Linked DNA regions of Arabidopsis thaliana. The protein of the gene in region 4 interacts with the protein of the main gene of each other region in a pairwise test. Each region holds a gene or a part of one and is shown on either strand. Other genes may lie near its edges.

Region 1 (3,861 bases), on a different chromosome or scaffold from region 4:
CTAAATATAATATTTGAAAAAACAGACTTTAAAGTAGTTGTATAGTGTATATATTATGAACGTTTTAATCTTTGCCACAATTGTTGGTTATTGTAAGATTCTTTACCTTAAAGCATCGAACTTTGTGGCTTATGTGTTCCCATATGTCAACAACGGACCTCTATCGTCCACAATACACACAAATGCAGCATAAGTTATTTGAATTATCGCCGGAATAAAGTTCTATAATTATTTGATTTGTTTTTCTTTTTTGGAATTTCCTCGGCAGGAATACATTTTCAAATTTCGTCAAATGATATTTTGCTTTGTAGTTGAAACATATTAGATTTTATTTTCCGATCCAAATTTTGTTCCCATCATGTCTTTTTGAATCATTTTACAAGAATGATTTAAGTATAAAAAAGGAGAATTAACATTAAGTTTAATTTCTTAAAAAATCCTTGACAGAAGAGATCAATTATCTTTCCGCAAGTTCTCTGAAACTGTTTAATAAATGAATTTTATACTTTATCAGCATGCAAACCTTATTTTTATAATGACCAAAAACACTATCAGCAAAAGACTAATAATTTACATTCTTCATTAGAAATTTAAAGATGAGAGAATACATGGAAACTTCTCCGATTGGTCAATGACAAAGGTTTTTGAAAGTTCAAAAAAAAAAAAAAGACATAAACCAGTCAGACCAAAACATGGAGGAAGAGAAACAAACCCTAGAGACGATTCTCTCCGCAACTGTTAAAAATTTCAGTTGCAGAGAGATTAATATAAGACACTGAAATTGAAAGACAAACTCCTAAAAGAAAAAGTCTTCTCTTTGCTTTGTTTAAGATTCGGACAATTTGCTAATCGCATCCCAATCAATCTCCACAGAAGGAAACTTCTCCAGCCCGAAACTCCCAATCTCATCAAATCCAGAATCCGAAAAGTCCAAGAACGTAGTAATACCAGATTCCGGCGAAGAAGATTCCACATGAGACTCATCTGAAAACGAATTCTCATCAGATCTCAAGAACCCATATTCACTTTCTTGATACTCTGTTTTTGGCGGGAAAAGCTCTGTTTCAGAACAGGGGAGGTCAATATCCTCTGTTTTTCTCAAGCTCTGACAAATCTCTTGGAGCTTTGCGTCGACAGAGGAATGAAGAGGATTGAAACAGCTACCTCCTCCGTAGTATCCATCCTCGTGTCTGAACTGTGGGAAATTAAGTCTCGCGAACTCGCCTCTTAGCTTGTAAGCAGCTAGGTCATAAGCCATGGCTGCTTCTTCAGCTGTGTCGAAAGTTCCAAGCCAGAGTCGGGTCCGGTTCTTGGGTAAACGGATCTCAGCTACCCATTTTCCCCAGTGCCTTTGTCTAACTCCTCTATAGAGTTTCTGAGCGGTCATGTTCTTCATTGGGACAGGCTTTGGGGCTAGATTTGGAGAGATTATGTTACGTCTCTGGTTAAGCTGGTTTTGGATTTGGTGGATTTGGTAAGGTGTGAGCTGGTTTAGACCGAGAGATGTGGTTTGATTGAAACCGAAGACTGTGTTTGAATACGTAGGAGAAGAAGAATCAGTGTTGGTGGTATAAGGTTGAAGTGCTTTCATGAGCTCTTCTTGAAAAGGATCTGTGTTGCTATTGAACATATCTATGGCTGCCATGGATCTTTAAAGACTAGGAAACAAAATTAAAACAGAGAGGGATTAAAAACACACCCTCTTAGTCGATTGAATAGAAATCAAAATCTCTGAAAGAACAAGAAAAAGGAAGAATTATAGCATTTTTTGTTTCTAAATATTTGTTTTTTTCTGTCGCTTTTGGTTTCGCTTGATGCCAAGTTCTTTGCTTATATAACACCATAAGCTAAGCCGCCCATTGAGATCATTATCATTTTAAAATTATATATAAATTTCTTCAGTAGAATGTTAAATTTAATAATTACATTGTTTAGATGCTTTTGTTCTGTTGACGATTTGTTTCTCGTCAGCTTGATAAAAATCTTTTATTCCATGGATCTAAGCCGTTCCCAGGGAATATAATACGATTTTATGGTGTGTACGTGTGTGACAAAACAATCATCTATCATGGTTAGACTAAGAGTTCTAAATTTTACAAAAATTCCCAGCTCAATTTTTTAAAAAAAATCATAACTATACTAGCTCGCAATAACTATAAATATCAATTTCACTTTCTATTGTGTTTATTAAGGATATATTTATATTGATTTCATGTTATATGTGAAGAGCGTGTTATATTTTTTTTTGAAAAAGAGAGCATGTTATAGTTTAATTAGGTTTACACGTTACACACACACCAAAAAGACGGAATTAATTTTCTTTAACTTCTCATATGATCTTTGACTCTAGTTTTGGAGCTATATTTAATAAATAAAATCGCCGAAATATAATCTTTTCAGCAATAATTTCAAAAATCGTAAGAGCCAAAAACTGACATTAGTTGATTCTAGCGCAAGTTGAAAGGCCAGTTTGCCTTCTTTACCACTTCTTTTCTTTTGCCAACATATCTTCTTATAAAATAATTTATATTTTACTCATGTTGAATTAGAAGGAAAAAAAAAAAGCATGGAATCAGTACTTGAAGTACTAAATAATATTCATGCAAACAAAAAGAAGAAATTGCAGCCATATCAAACATGAGAATATTGGTGGTCATACTAATATTCCCAAGTCCTAATGTGGTCCATTTTCAGAAATTTTTATTGAGTATACCGCATACAAGTAGATGTAAAAAGTGGGGTGGGGGGGTTGTAAATTAATAAACTAAGGGGTTGTTTGGTTAGCAAGATAAAATTAATTGGAGAAAGTGAAGAAAGCTATTGGAGAAGAATGGAAAGAGGTGAGAACTCAAAGGCGGTTAAAGTTTGCGTCACAAGGAAGCTAGTGGATCTTCTTCACCTTTTTTCAAGTTCCTTTTCAGATTTTAACCATTTAAAAATCCAATATTCTTCGAAATATTATGTAAAATTCTTTTGTGTTTGATTGTTGTAGAAAATAGAGAAATTGTATAATGATTTTATTTACGATAAGTATATTGTTTCGTTTAAAACAAAATGAGGTAGACACGTTTCAGATAATGGATTTACTTTTGTTTTCGTATATATTATTTTTCTGTTTTGATAATTCATTACATAGTATCAATATGAAGAGAAGGTTTTAAGAATTGCAATCAATATAATCAAAGATTCATGAGCTAAATTACATTCTCATTTCATTCCATATTCTTTTTCACACTTACTAGTAGCCATTTTTTATTTACCTAAATAATTTTTTGTTATAATATTCACAAATTTTCACCATAAATGATTGAAAATGGAAAAAAGTTAGGTGATATGAAAAGCTTTACACGGATACTACTTGCTTACTTTGTATATTCGTTTACCCTCCACGTTTTCCCCCCCCCAAAAAGACCATTAATTCCAACTTTATGAGTGAATTTCAAAAAATTTCCACGTAATGTATTCCCTTATTTTCTTATTGATTACTTATTTTGTATCAAATTAAATAAGATTCTTCGAACCGATATGAAAAGCCAAAAATAAGAGAAGAAGCAACTATGTGGGACCCACTCTGGCTTGTTCACACGTAAGATCCTACGTGGAAATCATTATCTCTCGGTTCTCTAAGACCTGACAACTGACAGAAGAAGCTAAAGAACATATCTTCAGAAACTACTTTTGATCTCATCGCTAATCTATTTGGTTAGAAATCATAACGTAGATTAGGAATAATTCTAAAGTTTTTGGAGATAAACTCGATTACACGTCTTACAAAGTATTCGTTACTTTCTTAACTTTCTAAATTTTCTTTTAATTGTTGATCGTAAATCTATGGATGACCCGAAAATCACAAAGAATAAT
Region 2 (6,366 bases), on a different chromosome or scaffold from region 4:
TCTTTTCAGTGTAGCTTATTGTCTGAGATATTTCGCAACTTATGCTGGCATTTTTTCTTTTTGCAGGAGTACAACGACAAATTACTAATAACTTACCTAGCGATGATTACAAATTGTTCCAGGTTTGTACCTAATGCAACATTCTAAAGTATTTGAAAGCAAGTATATAGGCTAGCGAATGCTCTTTAACTAGTGGTTCTTTAGGAACTGTGAAAGATACGGTTTTCACCGGGCTGGTGGATTCTGTTATATCAGTTAATAATTTTGTTTGCTCAATCTGCAGCAACATGAACGAGATGGTCGACAAATTCAACACCGCATATGACAGAAACACTCGAAGAGGTGGAAGAACTGCATTCATGTAAAAGATCCTTTCCAGCGATTCTAGTTCTAAAGATCTTCTCTTGGTTCCTGAAACCATTTTTAACATTGCCTCTGTGAGAATCTATAACTCAGACGGCAAGACTTTATCCTCTTCATTGTTTCTATATCTATAAGAACATCTGCTTATCTATCAAAGCTCTTGTTTGATCTTGAACAAGTTTCTATTGTTAGTAAAAAGATTTTAAGGTTTGATTCTATCAGTCTCTCTAGTTACATCCACATCAGTCTCCAGTTAGCAATTGCAGTATTGCTACACAACACTCACTTTTTTCTTCTTTGTTGATTTCAATATAAGATAAAGAACCAGTAAAAAAGAAGACAAAACCAAGGAATGAACAATAAAACAGCCTTTACCTTCCCCAAAGTTTGAAACCAATAAATGAAAGAAGAAGAAGAAGCAGAAATTAAAAGTTATTATAAGGAGTGACCAAATGCAGAAGAAGAAGAAGAAGAGTAAATTTCAAATCTGAGGTAATCTACTCATGATCTGGTTATATACCGATTGTCCTGAATCTGAAACCGGTTCAACCTTTGGTTCCATCCCTCTCTGCATCATTGCTTCACTCATCCCAACCGGTTGTGTCATATACGGGTGAGGCAAACCCGGCATTTTCCCTTGACCATACGCTAAACCAGGCATTGAAAGATTAACCAAACCGGTTTGTCCTAAACCGAAGGAGAAACCAGAAGGAGGACCCAAATGTGGCTGAAAGCTAAAGGGACGGCTAAAAGGAGACTGATTGTTAGTTGTGACTTGTCTGTCGAATCTCCCACGTGGCGGCTCTGAGTGATGACCGTTGTGGTAATGGTGAGAAACTGCGGCTGAACCGCCGCTGTTACCGTTACCACTATCACCACCGCCTCCGTGGCTGCTGTTGCGTGCAGCGGGGACGTCATGGTTATGTTTGCCTTCGTAAGTTGTTATAACGGATTTGAGATCATGAGAAGCTCTTTCAACATGTTTCCTCACTGTACATCCTGGAGCTGTGCATTTGTAATAACTCCTAGAAAAACATTATGAAAACGTTATAAAAAAAGAATTGGTCTTGTGATTGCCGATAAACATATAAACAGAACCAGACCAAAACAGAGGAGGGGATTATAAAGAACCTTGGATTTGGATTGCCTTTGACAACTTTCTGACCATATTTTCGCCAGCGATAACCATCATCAAGAATGTCAACATCACTCGTTGTCTGCACAACAACTCTTGGCTCACGTATGGCTCTTGTTGATCCACTCATCTCTGCTGCAAAAGCTTCTAGTTTCCTGTAAAATCAAAAAGTTTTTGAGTCTCGTTTACTGAGTCATCGAGGATTCGGTGTTTCGATTGCTAAAACAAACCTTCTTTTCGACTCTGATTCATCTCCTTCTCCTCCCCCACCTCCTCCTCCTCCATCGTAACCCAAAGAAACACTTCCATGTGTCCCTCGATCATCTTCATCTTCATCATTAGAGAATGTTGAAGAAGCATCAACCACAACCACAGGATCACCTGACTCGTATTGACCTCCGGTTTGAGCTTGAATTGATCCAGATTGGTTTCCATACTCGAATCTCGTAGATCCCTCTTCGACATTGTTCTCATTGCTTCCACCTTGTTGTTGAGTGTTATTACAACTAACCCACGTTGCAGCAGAATCTCTCTGTTGTTGTTGTTGTTCAACTTGTTCAGTTCCATCTACTTGCATCCCTGAGCGGCGATTAGGTGGAGGTTTAAGATGATTATGAGCTCCTTTGTATATAATCTCTGTGATGTGACCTTCCCTTGATCTCTCAACTTTCTTCTTCACCTGACAATTCGGGTTTGTGCACTTGTAATAGCTTCGCGGATACTCACTTCCTTTGACCAACTTTTGTCCGTATTTCCTCCAGTTATATCCATCCTCTGCAGGCGCACCACCAGCCATCGAATCACCGCGTCTTTGCTCTTCTTCTTCCTCTTGATGATCCACGGTTTCAAGACTGGTGTTTGTAGTGACATCAGATGTCTTGTTCTGCCCGTTTTGATTGTCAGTTTCAATCCCATAAAGATTGGAGCTTTCTATGTTTTCAGAGCCAGGTTTTACTTCTTCTGCGGATTGATGAGAAGAAGATCTATTGTTGTAGTTACCATAATCAACTGACATCATCTCTGTTGTGCCTTGGAAGAAAGAGGAAGATGATCTTGAAACAGGATGGAAGCTGAATGATGCTCCAATATCATCAAAGAACTCGTCTTTCGCTTTCTCAGAAGACAATGCATTACCATTAACACCAGGAAGAAATGGAAATTTCCCGGTAGTTGGAGAAGGTTGAGCCTGCAAGGTCACCGAGATATTCAGAAAAAATAGCTCCATAATAACATCGAAAGAAAGCAAACCAACTTGTAGCTTACCAATGGGTTAGAAAGGAAAACAGGAGATTCCAAGAGTGTTGCAGGGCTAAGGCCAGGAGAAGAGATGGTTAAGCAAGGAGATCGAAGGTTAGAGTCAATGGAAAAGTCGGTGTTGGTGCGGATATTCTCAGTGTTCAACCTTGGAGCATTAAATCCAGCTCTTGCAGCAATTCTTTCACTGAGACCACCTCGAAAAACATTGCTTTGTGAAGAATCCTTGTTATGATTACTACTAGTGTCTTCTTCTAAACCAATAACTTGACCATGATTCAAAGATAACTCTCTTTCAAGAACACGTTTCGAGCTCTTCTCTTCTCCAATAGCAGAGGAGAAAAGTGTCCCGGGACTAGGACTACGAGGCACCCATTCTCCCATCACAGCAACATTTTCATCAAAACCAGCCATTTAGTATCCAAGAATTTGGCTGAATCTCTGATCAAACTGTGATGAAACTCCTGAAAATATGATAAAGAATCACAAAACTTCAGATTACTACCAAAAAAACAATAATCTAGCTAAACACAACGATGATTAGAGACAAGTGTCACTAAACCAGTGAGCTTAAGTTTCTCAAAGTTTAAAACTTTTTTATTTCAAAGTGGACAAAAAATATATAAAATAATTCATTCAGACAAAAGAAAAAAATGTAAGAAAATGAAGGACTTTTTCTTTTTCACACGTTAAGCCACTTTCATGGAATCTCACAAAATCAAAACATAGGATTTTAGATTCTAACGAATTAGCTTCGAGAATTTTGGAAATGAATCAAAAATGATCGAGCCACGAAGATTAAAAACGACAAAGAGAAAGAAAAAAACGTGTGATTATAGCTTAACCCAGACTGTAAGCAAAAAGAACCTAAAAGGAGACGATTAAACAAATCAAGGTTTGTTCAAAATCCAGAATTTAAGTTAAAGATGAAACATTTTAATCATATGAAAATGGAATCACAAAAACTCGATTGTGACTATTTACCTGATTGATAAAAGAAGACGACACACAAACACCGTCACAGCCGCCGCAGCCGCAAACTGAAATCCTCAGTTCCGTCGCTAACATCCAACTGTGCTCTGATCCGAACACCAAAAACCGAAAACCCACCCGACCCGGATCCGAATTTAACACTGATGAAGGAAAAAAGAGAGATTTTGTTGAAAGCCGGAGAGAAAGAGATATTTTTTTCTTCTCCTTCTTCCTCTCTCTGTTCTTCTTCTGGGTCTCACAGAAAAAACCCAGAAAAAAAAATCAAAACTTTACAACTTCTCTCCCCTAAATAAAATGATGATTGATTAAAAACACAGTCGGATTAGTCTAATCTTTGTGACGAGAACATTTTCATTGCGTATGTTGAATTCTAAGAAATTCAATTAGTCGGCAAAAGAAATGATTTTGATTTGTGGGCGAGAAGAGGAATCTTCGAAAGTGATAAAAGATATAGAGAGAATTATGAGACCATTTTTGATCGATTTGTTTACTAAAGAGGAAGAAGGAATAAAAAAGTTTTTGCAGGAGAAATGGTGAAGATGATGACGATGATGGGGGTGATTCGTGTTCTAACATACACGAAGCGTTTTTTCTCATAATTGAATTCACCTATAAAAACACGCCACGTGGAGTAATTGGAGTTAGAGAATTAAGATCAACGGTTGATAAGTAAGAGGTACGGTGAGGTGTAACACAGGTGATCTCTAACGAATTATTTGCCAACTTTTCACATTAATTTCTCTTCCATTTTCATTTTTTCCGGATTGGTTATTAATAGGAAGAAAATTAATTTTAAAAGGAAATTATTGGCAAAAGGTTCTATTCTGCCACATGTCGGATTTAGAAAATTATTTTATTACAGTGAATATAGTCTTATATTGGTTTGATTTGATTCATATGAATTGAGAAAGAAAAAAACTGAATTATCTCTTTAAGGACAAGGAAAAGAAAAAAAGTTACATATAAAGCAGGTTGTTGTTTTTTACTATAAGTGGTCATATTAGTTAGAAATTTGTGGAACAGAAGAAAATCTAATCTGCAAGCTATTTATAGTCTCTGTGTGTAGTAACTATGCAAGAAAATTCAGTTAAAAGGGGAAATGTTGTCAAAATATTTTCACCGCAGAGAATAAAATGTTTAACATAGCATTTTTTGAGAAATCCAGGTATTTTGAAGGATAAAAAAACAGTTAAATTTAACAGAAAGTATACTGTTAGGTCTGATATGTCGATATTACAAGTTTCAAAAAAATTAATTGAGTAGAATTATAGTTTTTACGGTAAAATTATAAGATGCCAAAATTTATTTTTATTAGTGATTGAAAATGTTGATTTCATCATACTATTTTACTAGTATTATTTTTTGTCAACGACCGATTGGTTAGTGATGTTGCGAGGACACTAACAAAACCAAATTATGATCTAGTATTTACTATTTTAAAATTTAATAATTAGTAATTTTATTATTTTAGTTAGTAAGGTTATGGCAAACAAAGTAAATAAGTAGATATTTTCGTGTATCAAATTCTATTTTAAATTTGAATTTTTTATGTTATTTTTTTCTTGTTATCGTTTATAGTGCTCGATCTTTAAAGAGGATAGATAATAAGTTATGTATTAGTAACTTGATACATGTATGTACACTTACATCCAAAAGTCAAAATGTGTTTATGTAAATCAGTTTTAAGTTATGTAACAACAACAATCACCCTTAATATTTAATTAGTTTTTTTTGGTATCAGTGTTAAGTAGAATATTTAATTGTTATAAGATATTTTGACCTAACCCAAATCATCGTTGAGTCGAAAGACTAGAAGTTCAAACTAATATATGAAACTAGAGTAGAGACGCAACATAGATCTATATGGCAACCAAATCTTTCGACTTCAATCGATAAGACGTATAACAATAATATATTGTTTTACAAAAAAAAAAAAAAAAAAAACAATAATATTTGAATTTGACATGTTCTCATACATGCATGCATGTGATTTGATTTTAAAACTATGCATTTTAGATGAAACGTATTAACCTAATTAAACTGCAATATAAGGAGATACGTTTACCAACCATTGTGAAATTCAGATATTCAAATATAGATTGAATCTAATATATATAACACCTATTAAGTAGTTAAGTACTGGTTAAAGAAACCTAAAATAAAATCATTAAACGAACTAAATAACATCAGACAAATATTCTTTACAAATATATGAGATACGTTAACGCTTATATCTTTTCTTTTCTTTCTTACATGTTAACGTTTATAGTCTGAAAAGAGGAAGAAACAAAATGACTAACGTGCGTTAAGGATGATCTAATCTAATTGTATGTAGAGACATTTAATAAAATTGGGAATAATCAATCAATGACTTTTAATTATACCTTAAATTGAATATTAAATTGGAAATTGAGGAGGCAGTTTTTCCAAAAAAAAACGGTCAAAAAAGAAACATTGACCAAGCCTCTTTTAGTATTTTGTTTTTCGCTTTCACTTTTATTCTTCTTTGTCTTTTTACGAGCCGCAAAATATCCCGTTACGGAGCTGTGACCTTACACTCATGTGACAGCCAAAGCACGGTTGTGGCGTGGTGTACCTTTTTTTTTTTTTTTTTTTCTTCT
Region 3 (3,929 bases), on a different chromosome or scaffold from region 4:
GAAATTGATGATGTTTCTCGTTTGCCTTTATCAATGGTGAGGACAAAAATCCCTGTTACGTCATGTCACTGATATGTTTTTGAGCTGATGAAAAACAGGTTCTGAATGTTTTTTTGTTGTCTCCTTTTCTTTATCCACAGGAAAGCTGCAGAGAACTGTGGAAGGCTGCCCAAAAGTTACAAAGCCAGCTCTCTGAGATCATCGATTCATGTGATGAAACCGTGGTTCCATATTCTGTATCTCCAGGATGTGAACTCGAAGGTATAAGCAAAGGATTATGCAAAGAGGATCCCAAAATGAAGACTCCTCGTGGGAATAATGGATCTGAAAAACCCTCCACACAGCTTGAACAGAAGGAAAGAGAGAAGTCTTCCAAAAAGAAACCTCAGGTCAAGAAAACGAGAATCAAAAGTCTCAGAGACATAGGAATAACAGCTGTGAGGAAATCGCCTCGATTCAGCTGATGATACTCATCAAAAAATGCTTCCGGAGAGCATGATATCTCATAAAGGTTAGGTTGTTATTTAATATCAGTATCTACATAAGTGCAACATCTTGAAGAATTTGAATATAAATTTTTAGTTTTCATATAAACTTCTCATGAAAGAACAAGAATGTGCCTGCTAATGAGACATTGATGCTAAAAGCTATTAACATTCTACAATCTTCTTTTACTACTAAGAGCCAGGGATGAGTTGAGATGAGACTCTTCTCTCTGGCACATCACAGTACTACTAGCAAACACCTTTTTTGGTCTCTTCCGTTTTTACCCCTGTGGAGCAAAACTCCAATTCAAGAATGGTTTCTGCTCAGGCGGATCCTGGAAGGAAGTGAAATAATCAGACTGATACAAGAACTGAGGGACAAAAGCGTCAGGCTGCAACAACTCCATGGAACTACCAAACATTGAAGTATCAAAAGCTTCCAAAGCATCCTCAAGCTCTCCCCATTTAGGCTCGCTCTGAACCTCCAAAACATCCGGTGACACCACGTGACCGTGACCACCTGAGCTGCTGGAATCATCCTCTTGCAATGTCGGGTAAGTCGAGTCTGATGTATCAAAAGGTGATGATGACTGTTCAGCCATTGTCGTGGTCCTCGGCTTCTCATCCGCGGGGAAATACTTCTCCATGGTTCCTTTCTTGTTGTATATTCGACATAAAACCCAATCATCAAGCTGTACAGCAAAACCCACCACAACAAAGTTAATAATCTAAATCATCATTCACGAAAAGATGATACATAAGTTAATAAGAAACAGAACTTACTCGTAGGTTGTTCTTTTTGTTAACAGAAGCTGATCTATCAACATTAGCGAGACGATACTCATGCATTATCCAATTGGTCTTAATCCCTTTTGGAGCTTTCCCTGCGTAGAAGACGAGTGCTTTCTTGATACCCAACGTCTTCGGTTTACCAATCGGTTTATCTGCTCCGGTAGCTTTCCAATAACCGGTTCCTGCTGCCCGGTTAGGACGCGAACCGTTTGGGTATTTCCGATCTCTAGGTGAGAAGAAGTACCACTCTTTCTCTCCGTACAGAGACATCTCTGAAAGAAGAACAAACATCTCAATAAACAACGATTCTCGAAGACACATGATTTCGCGAAAAATAATTAGAAGAAGCCCATAGGTGTACCTGGAAGCTCCCAAGGATTGAACTTGTAGAGATCAATCTCGGCGATAACCGGAGCCGAGATCTGCTCGGAAGCACATTTCCGGCACAAGTAGAATTTCACAAGCTCCTCGTCCGTTGGATGGAATCGGAACCCAGCTGGTAAATTTAGCTCCGACTTCATTCTCTTCTTCTTGTCTGTTGCTCTTGGAAAAATCTCTTCTTCGTTGGTTGAAAATTCAATTTCAGCTGGATCTGGATTTTTTTTGGGTTTTCTTCGTCTGCTCAAGATTGTAATCGAGGATATGTGAGTGAGGCGACGAAGGTTTTATAAGGACGAAAATCGCCGAAATGTTTTAATTAATTTAAATTGAAAAAACACAAAAAACAGAAAAGAGATGACACGAGGGGATTTTCAAGCACGTGCGGCAAAACAGACCGTTTTCTTTTCTACGCTGACCGCAGCCAGCTGGATATATACGTGGCGTAATATTATTGGATAGTCGACTTAGATGTTGTCATTGCTTGCGTCACTTAAACCTTTTGTGAATTGTTGACCGACTTTAGACCATCTCCATTGGGAAAGAGAGTGTAGAAAGTTTCTTACTTGAGAAACTTTGAGATACTTTACAACCCATCATGACAATTCTCATCTTACTATTGGTTCAATTTTTTAACAAAAATACTTTTTTAATTAAATAATTAAATTATAATATAATATTAATATTTTTTTTGTTTGAGAAATTTTGTGGATTTCTCGTAGATGGAAATGCCTTTATATGTCAAACCGTAATCTCCTGCTTCTCAGTGTAGCTTATCGCTTTTGTTCCTTTACTTACCACTAAGATTTACCACTAAGATTTAAAAAGAAAAATCTCAGCAGCCACTACTTTTTTATGATATTGAAATTGACACATTATTGTAACCTTGCTGAAGATAAGTCAGCATTTCTTGGGGCGGAAGTTGTAGTTTTGACTGGTGATTGGACAGTTTGATGAAACTACGGTGAGCATCTCCGCAGCTGATTAATTTCCTTCTTCAGGCGAAGCTTTGCGTCATGATGGATGACGTCATTTAAAGTTGCAATCGCCAATCATAGTCACTAATTATAAATACTCTCGACTAATAATACTACATTCACATAAATAAAAACATTGGAGTTCGCAAAGAAAGCGTTTGCGCTTTAGTTTGAGTTTCCCCGTTACATAAAAATATGTGTTAAGGACAACTATTTAACCACTAGCTTAATCCTTAATTAAGTACCCATTGAGCCGCTTTCATTACAGACTTAATTTATAATTCATAAGTTTGATTCACTAGCAAATAATGCCCATGAATCCTCTTCTATTTTAAAATCTTTAAATGTAAAGTTGAGGTAGGTGTGTATGCAAGCATGACGTGGGCTTGTTCCCCGTTTTATGATCATCATCACTTACGTTTTCTATCATATTATAAACTAATTATGATCGATTCAACGTAATGTTTTATAAGATCATGGTCTTTTCCTTTTACTATTAAAAGTCCCTTAGTAGCCAAATTAATTATAATACGAAATATTTGTGGTCAAACATGACTTTTTGTTGTTGTCAATAAGGATTCTTTATCGATATAAGAATGCAAGTTATATAAGTCGTATCATTTCATACACATCTTTTAGGCTTTTAGCTAAATAATTTTCGTGCACTGACGACTTCATTTTTTTCTGTCGTTTTAGATGATAACAGTCAAGTCTAGAATAAAAGATATGACCACTAATATTAAACCAAAAAAAGAAAACAAGAAAATATATAAAAGACATCGTAACGCATGATTTGTTCCTATTATAAAATTCAGATCAATTGGATCTGGACTTGATCTGAATTTTTATGATAAAGAGAGAAATCGACTTTATAGTTTTTTTGCAGTTGTTTGTTAATTTAGTCGCGGTGTGAATTGAAATAGGAAGCTTCGTGGAGCTTGATGTTATAGCTGCCGAACTTGACCCAAATTATGCAAATATAATGTTTTGGTGATGGATTATTACCTTTATGTTTTGTCGTTTCTAGAAATTTACATTGGAATATACTTGAGAATTTGGATAAGGAGGAGACAACTTGGGACCTCATTGTCGGAACTTAGAACCTATCGTTAACAACAATTAGTATCACATATACTACATACTATTCTCTATTCATATGACTACTTGTCTTATTCTTATGTGCGTGCGTATGACAAAAGTCTTACTATATAACATTCGTTTGAAACCGTGCATATATTGTAGTTAATTCTAGCATTTTAATTGGAATGTTTGAGTAGTGAATTATAAGTTTATGATA
Region 4 (3,412 bases):
ATCTGTAGGCTAGAAACTGCATTAATTATTTTAGCATATCTGATAGTATGAGAATTGAGTGTATAGGGGGGGAAGATAGATGGACAAAACAGGATTCAAGTCCGAAAGAGTTGGGCTATGTTTTCTGCTGAATACACATTTCGACCCAATTAGTTAAAATAATTCATCCTTTTCGTTTTCTCTAGCTAATTAAGTTCCTACACATATCCTTCGAGAACAAAAATCTAACACACATGCATGTTAGCTGCTGAGTCATTTGGTAACACGGTTCACATACAAAAGGGCTTTTTGAGACAAAATATTTATAAATGAATGACTAATCATCATATGGAGATTTCATCATTAAGCAACTTAGATTCTTTGTAATCTAACCCCAGATATTTCTGAAATAGAAGATTTGTTAAGTTTTTTTTTATATAAATAAAATACAAAATTTATTGGGATAAACGTGTTTACATCAATTGCATCGTTTGTTTAAGTACATGAGTAAAATCAAGAATTTAGAATGGAAAGAAGAAATGTTTGTTATGTCGATCCGAACCAAGATTTGTTAAGTTAAGACCTCTTTATCATTCATCATACATATTTATGAAGAACACCGAACATGCAAAAGAAAACAAAACAAAACATAAAACTCAAAAAGAGAAAAAAGAGAGATTCGTTAATCTCTATTTGTACACCTAAAACTCAACACCAAAACTTGTAATTAAGACCAGCCACAAAAAAAGAACCATTCACTCACTGCACACCAGTCCAAGCTCAATCTTACACGTGTCCTCATCCTCAGACGTGCCACACCTCTCTAACTTTCTTTTCTTCATCGGTACCACCACGTGATTTCCACGTGCTAAAGGCTCCAACCCCAAAGTCAGCTCAAGCCCGATCCAAGTCTTTGGTTCCTCCGTCGTCGTCTCCTCAGAAGACACCGGTGACTCGTGACTCAGTGACGACTCATGACTCAAAGACCTCACGTTTCTCTCTTCCTTGCATGCACCACGGCTCCGTCTCTTAACGTTCTCGTCCCTGCTTGACACGTGTCTTATGTCGCAAAGCTTGTTGTTAAAAGGAGGTGCTTGACCAGTAACCGCTGCGTCGCATGCGATCGGAGTCACGGGTGAGCCTCTCATTACTGCCTCAACGGCCGCTTGACAAAGATGCCAGTTTCCTGACCACAATAACCCCACGGATCCGTATATCGGATTCACAATCCTCCCGCATGCTTCGTACAACAATGATCTAAATATCGCTGCAAAAACAAACAAAATTACCAAATTATTAGATGCATGTTAGAAAAATAAACAGGATCCTACGTTTCCTAAAAAGATGTATGAGAGATTCCGTCCAGAACTTCGCAATTAACCATAACAAACAAAAAACATAACATGCATGGGAAGTTTGAATACCAGGACGGAGGTGGTCAGGACCGGTGTTGAGGAGGTTCATGAGCCCCGCACGGCCATAAAACTTGGCGAGGAAGACGGTGGCGTTGGCTTGAGATTCAGCGGATTTGATCCATTGAAGACAAGGTCTTATGCTACAGTTTTCACTGCAGCCTTTTCGTAGAACTCGACATCCGTTACAACTCATACGCATTTTAGATGGGAAACAAAAAACAAAATGTGTTTTGGGTTTGAGGGAAAGTACAGAATGGTCCAGAGATCTTAGAAGAAGGAAGAGGTATTTAAGAGGGAGAAGCTGCTTGGGTTTGGTCGGAGAGATCATAACAATTAACAAGGAACGAAGTTGTCGTTTTCTTTGTGTGTAATTTTTTTCAAAAAATAAATAAATTTGTGACGTGCATGTTATATTTTTCTCTAAATGGATATCGTAATTTTCAAAGTATAAATAAGATGTAAAGAGCCCAAAAAAGAAGAGTTTTGTAATTGTTTTTATATTTTGTATGAATTATTTTAGTAAATTACGAGAATATTACCTTTATTTAGGTAAGTAATTTTTTCAAACTGTTATTATGTGTTTATAAAAATAAACAAAGCTTCTCATACTATTTGTATAGTTATAAAATTTTAAAATCTTTAATTTTCATGGTTTATACATTTTGTTTGTTTGTTTGTAGTTACTAATAATATATATTTTTTTTTTTGGGGAAAATAGTTACTAATAAATATGAAATATATATGGAAGCCCGTTGAGCTTTGTCTTTGGCTCTCATTCGTAGCGCGTGATCATCATCGACGAAAATGTCCAAAACCAGTCAAGTATTTTATTTTTTTGGTTAGTTGTTTATATCTGACCGCCGTTTGTTTTTGTCTAGACCGCAGTTTAATGTTCGGCAATTAATAATGGACTGCCAAAATATTTGGAGATAGTAAATTTTGAAAACGAAATTACTAGAGGGTAAAATGGTAAATAGAGAGATGAGAGGTTCGAATTTCAACGTTCGCATGCAAGCGCAAAAGTGTGATCGCGTGGCGGAGACATTGTGGTAACAGAGTTTGGTCGAATCGCCGCGTTTTCTGAGCGGTTACACATTATGTAGCTCCATACATAATTCTGATAATTAATATTAATATCCAAATACCTACTTAATAAATTATCTTAATGGAATCACTTTGACTTCTATAGGCTCTAGTATATATCAACATTAATATCGAAAGACCTACTAATAAATTATCTGCATGGATCACTTTGACTAATATAGGCTCTACAATTTTTACTTTTAGGTGAATAGATGCCAACGTTTATTGGTTAGATTTGGTAGTTTCTTCCATTGAAACACCCATCATTGAATGGTGATGTTTGAATTATTTCTATTACTTCTTTAATAAAATAAAGAAAAAAACGCACACACAATCTATTAATTATTATTAAGGTTTAGAAACAGTTAAAAATTAAAATTATAGAAAATATATAAATATCTATCAAAAATGTTAAAAATGTCAAATCGCAAACAAAGTTTAGATAAAATATTTATTTAAGTATATCAAACATTATATAAACATTTATAATTATTTATATAAAGATAAAACTTAGTTAAAAACTAGAAAAATACAGTAAAACAAAATATATATAATTTTAACGGATAAAACGATTTATTTTTTCTTCTGCCGGCTATCACACGATTAATACGATTGTCTCCACTTTAACTAATAATATAATCATGCGAACAATCATAACTATAGCTAGTAGACTCTATAGAGTCAATTTTTCTGAAAGACCAGTTACAGACGAATGTGAAAGCTATATATGCTATATGATATATACTAGTATGAAATAAATTTGTTGTCGTTTCAGGTAATTTAGAAGACCTGTATAAAGTTGTACAATAATTTTCTATATCAAATAACTTAACATATTGTAAGATAAACAATAAGTCAATAACCTAATTCCTATATGTATATATATTATGTTTTTGAAAAATTCAAATGGTATATATACATGTTTAGATAGACGT

The links.
Region 1: the proteins of LBD40 (region 4) and AT4G39780 interact in a two-hybrid assay, tested with the Arabidopsis thaliana proteins (one large-scale study listed by BioGRID).
Region 2: the proteins of LBD40 (region 4) and WRKY2 interact in a two-hybrid assay, tested with the Arabidopsis thaliana proteins (one large-scale study listed by BioGRID).
Region 3: the proteins of LBD40 (region 4) and ATAF2 interact in a two-hybrid assay, tested with the Arabidopsis thaliana proteins (one large-scale study listed by BioGRID).

What each region holds. Positions count from the first base shown.
Region 1 is NC_003075.7:18,457,390-18,461,250, forward strand, and holds AT4G39780 (Integrase-type DNA-binding superfamily protein), read right to left. Parts: upstream 1,869-3,861; 5' UTR 1,646-1,868; coding exon 827-1,645; 3' UTR 517-826; downstream 1-516.
Region 2 is NC_003076.8:22,777,616-22,783,981, reverse strand, and holds WRKY2 (WRKY DNA-binding protein 2), read right to left. Parts: upstream 4,369-6,366; 5' UTR 3,737-4,368; intron 3,217-3,736; 5' UTR 3,167-3,216; coding exon 2,762-3,166; intron 2,685-2,761; coding exon 1,729-2,684; intron 1,654-1,728; coding exon 1,495-1,653; intron 1,389-1,494; coding exon 845-1,388; 3' UTR 556-844; downstream 1-555. Other genes in the region: CSN6A (COP9 signalosome subunit 6A), read left to right, coding at 67-122, 284-365. UniProt on the Arabidopsis thaliana protein: Transcription factor. Regulates WOX8 and WOX9 expression and basal cell division patterns during early embryogenesis. Interacts specifically with the W box (5'-(T)TGAC[CT]-3'), a frequently occurring elicitor-responsive cis-acting element.
Region 3 is NC_003076.8:2,858,347-2,862,275, forward strand, and holds ATAF2 (NAC (No Apical Meristem) domain transcriptional regulator superfamily protein), read right to left. Parts: upstream 2,213-3,929; 5' UTR 1,799-2,212; coding exon 1,639-1,798; intron 1,550-1,638; coding exon 1,269-1,549; intron 1,178-1,268; coding exon 767-1,177; 3' UTR 503-766; downstream 1-502. Other genes in the region: AT5G08780 (winged-helix DNA-binding transcription factor family protein), read left to right, coding at 1-36, 141-464.
Region 4 is NC_003070.9:25,051,982-25,055,393, reverse strand, and holds LBD40 (LOB domain-containing protein 40), read right to left. Parts: upstream 1,722-3,412; 5' UTR 1,594-1,721; coding exon 1,404-1,593; intron 1,247-1,403; coding exon 735-1,246; 3' UTR 530-734; downstream 1-529.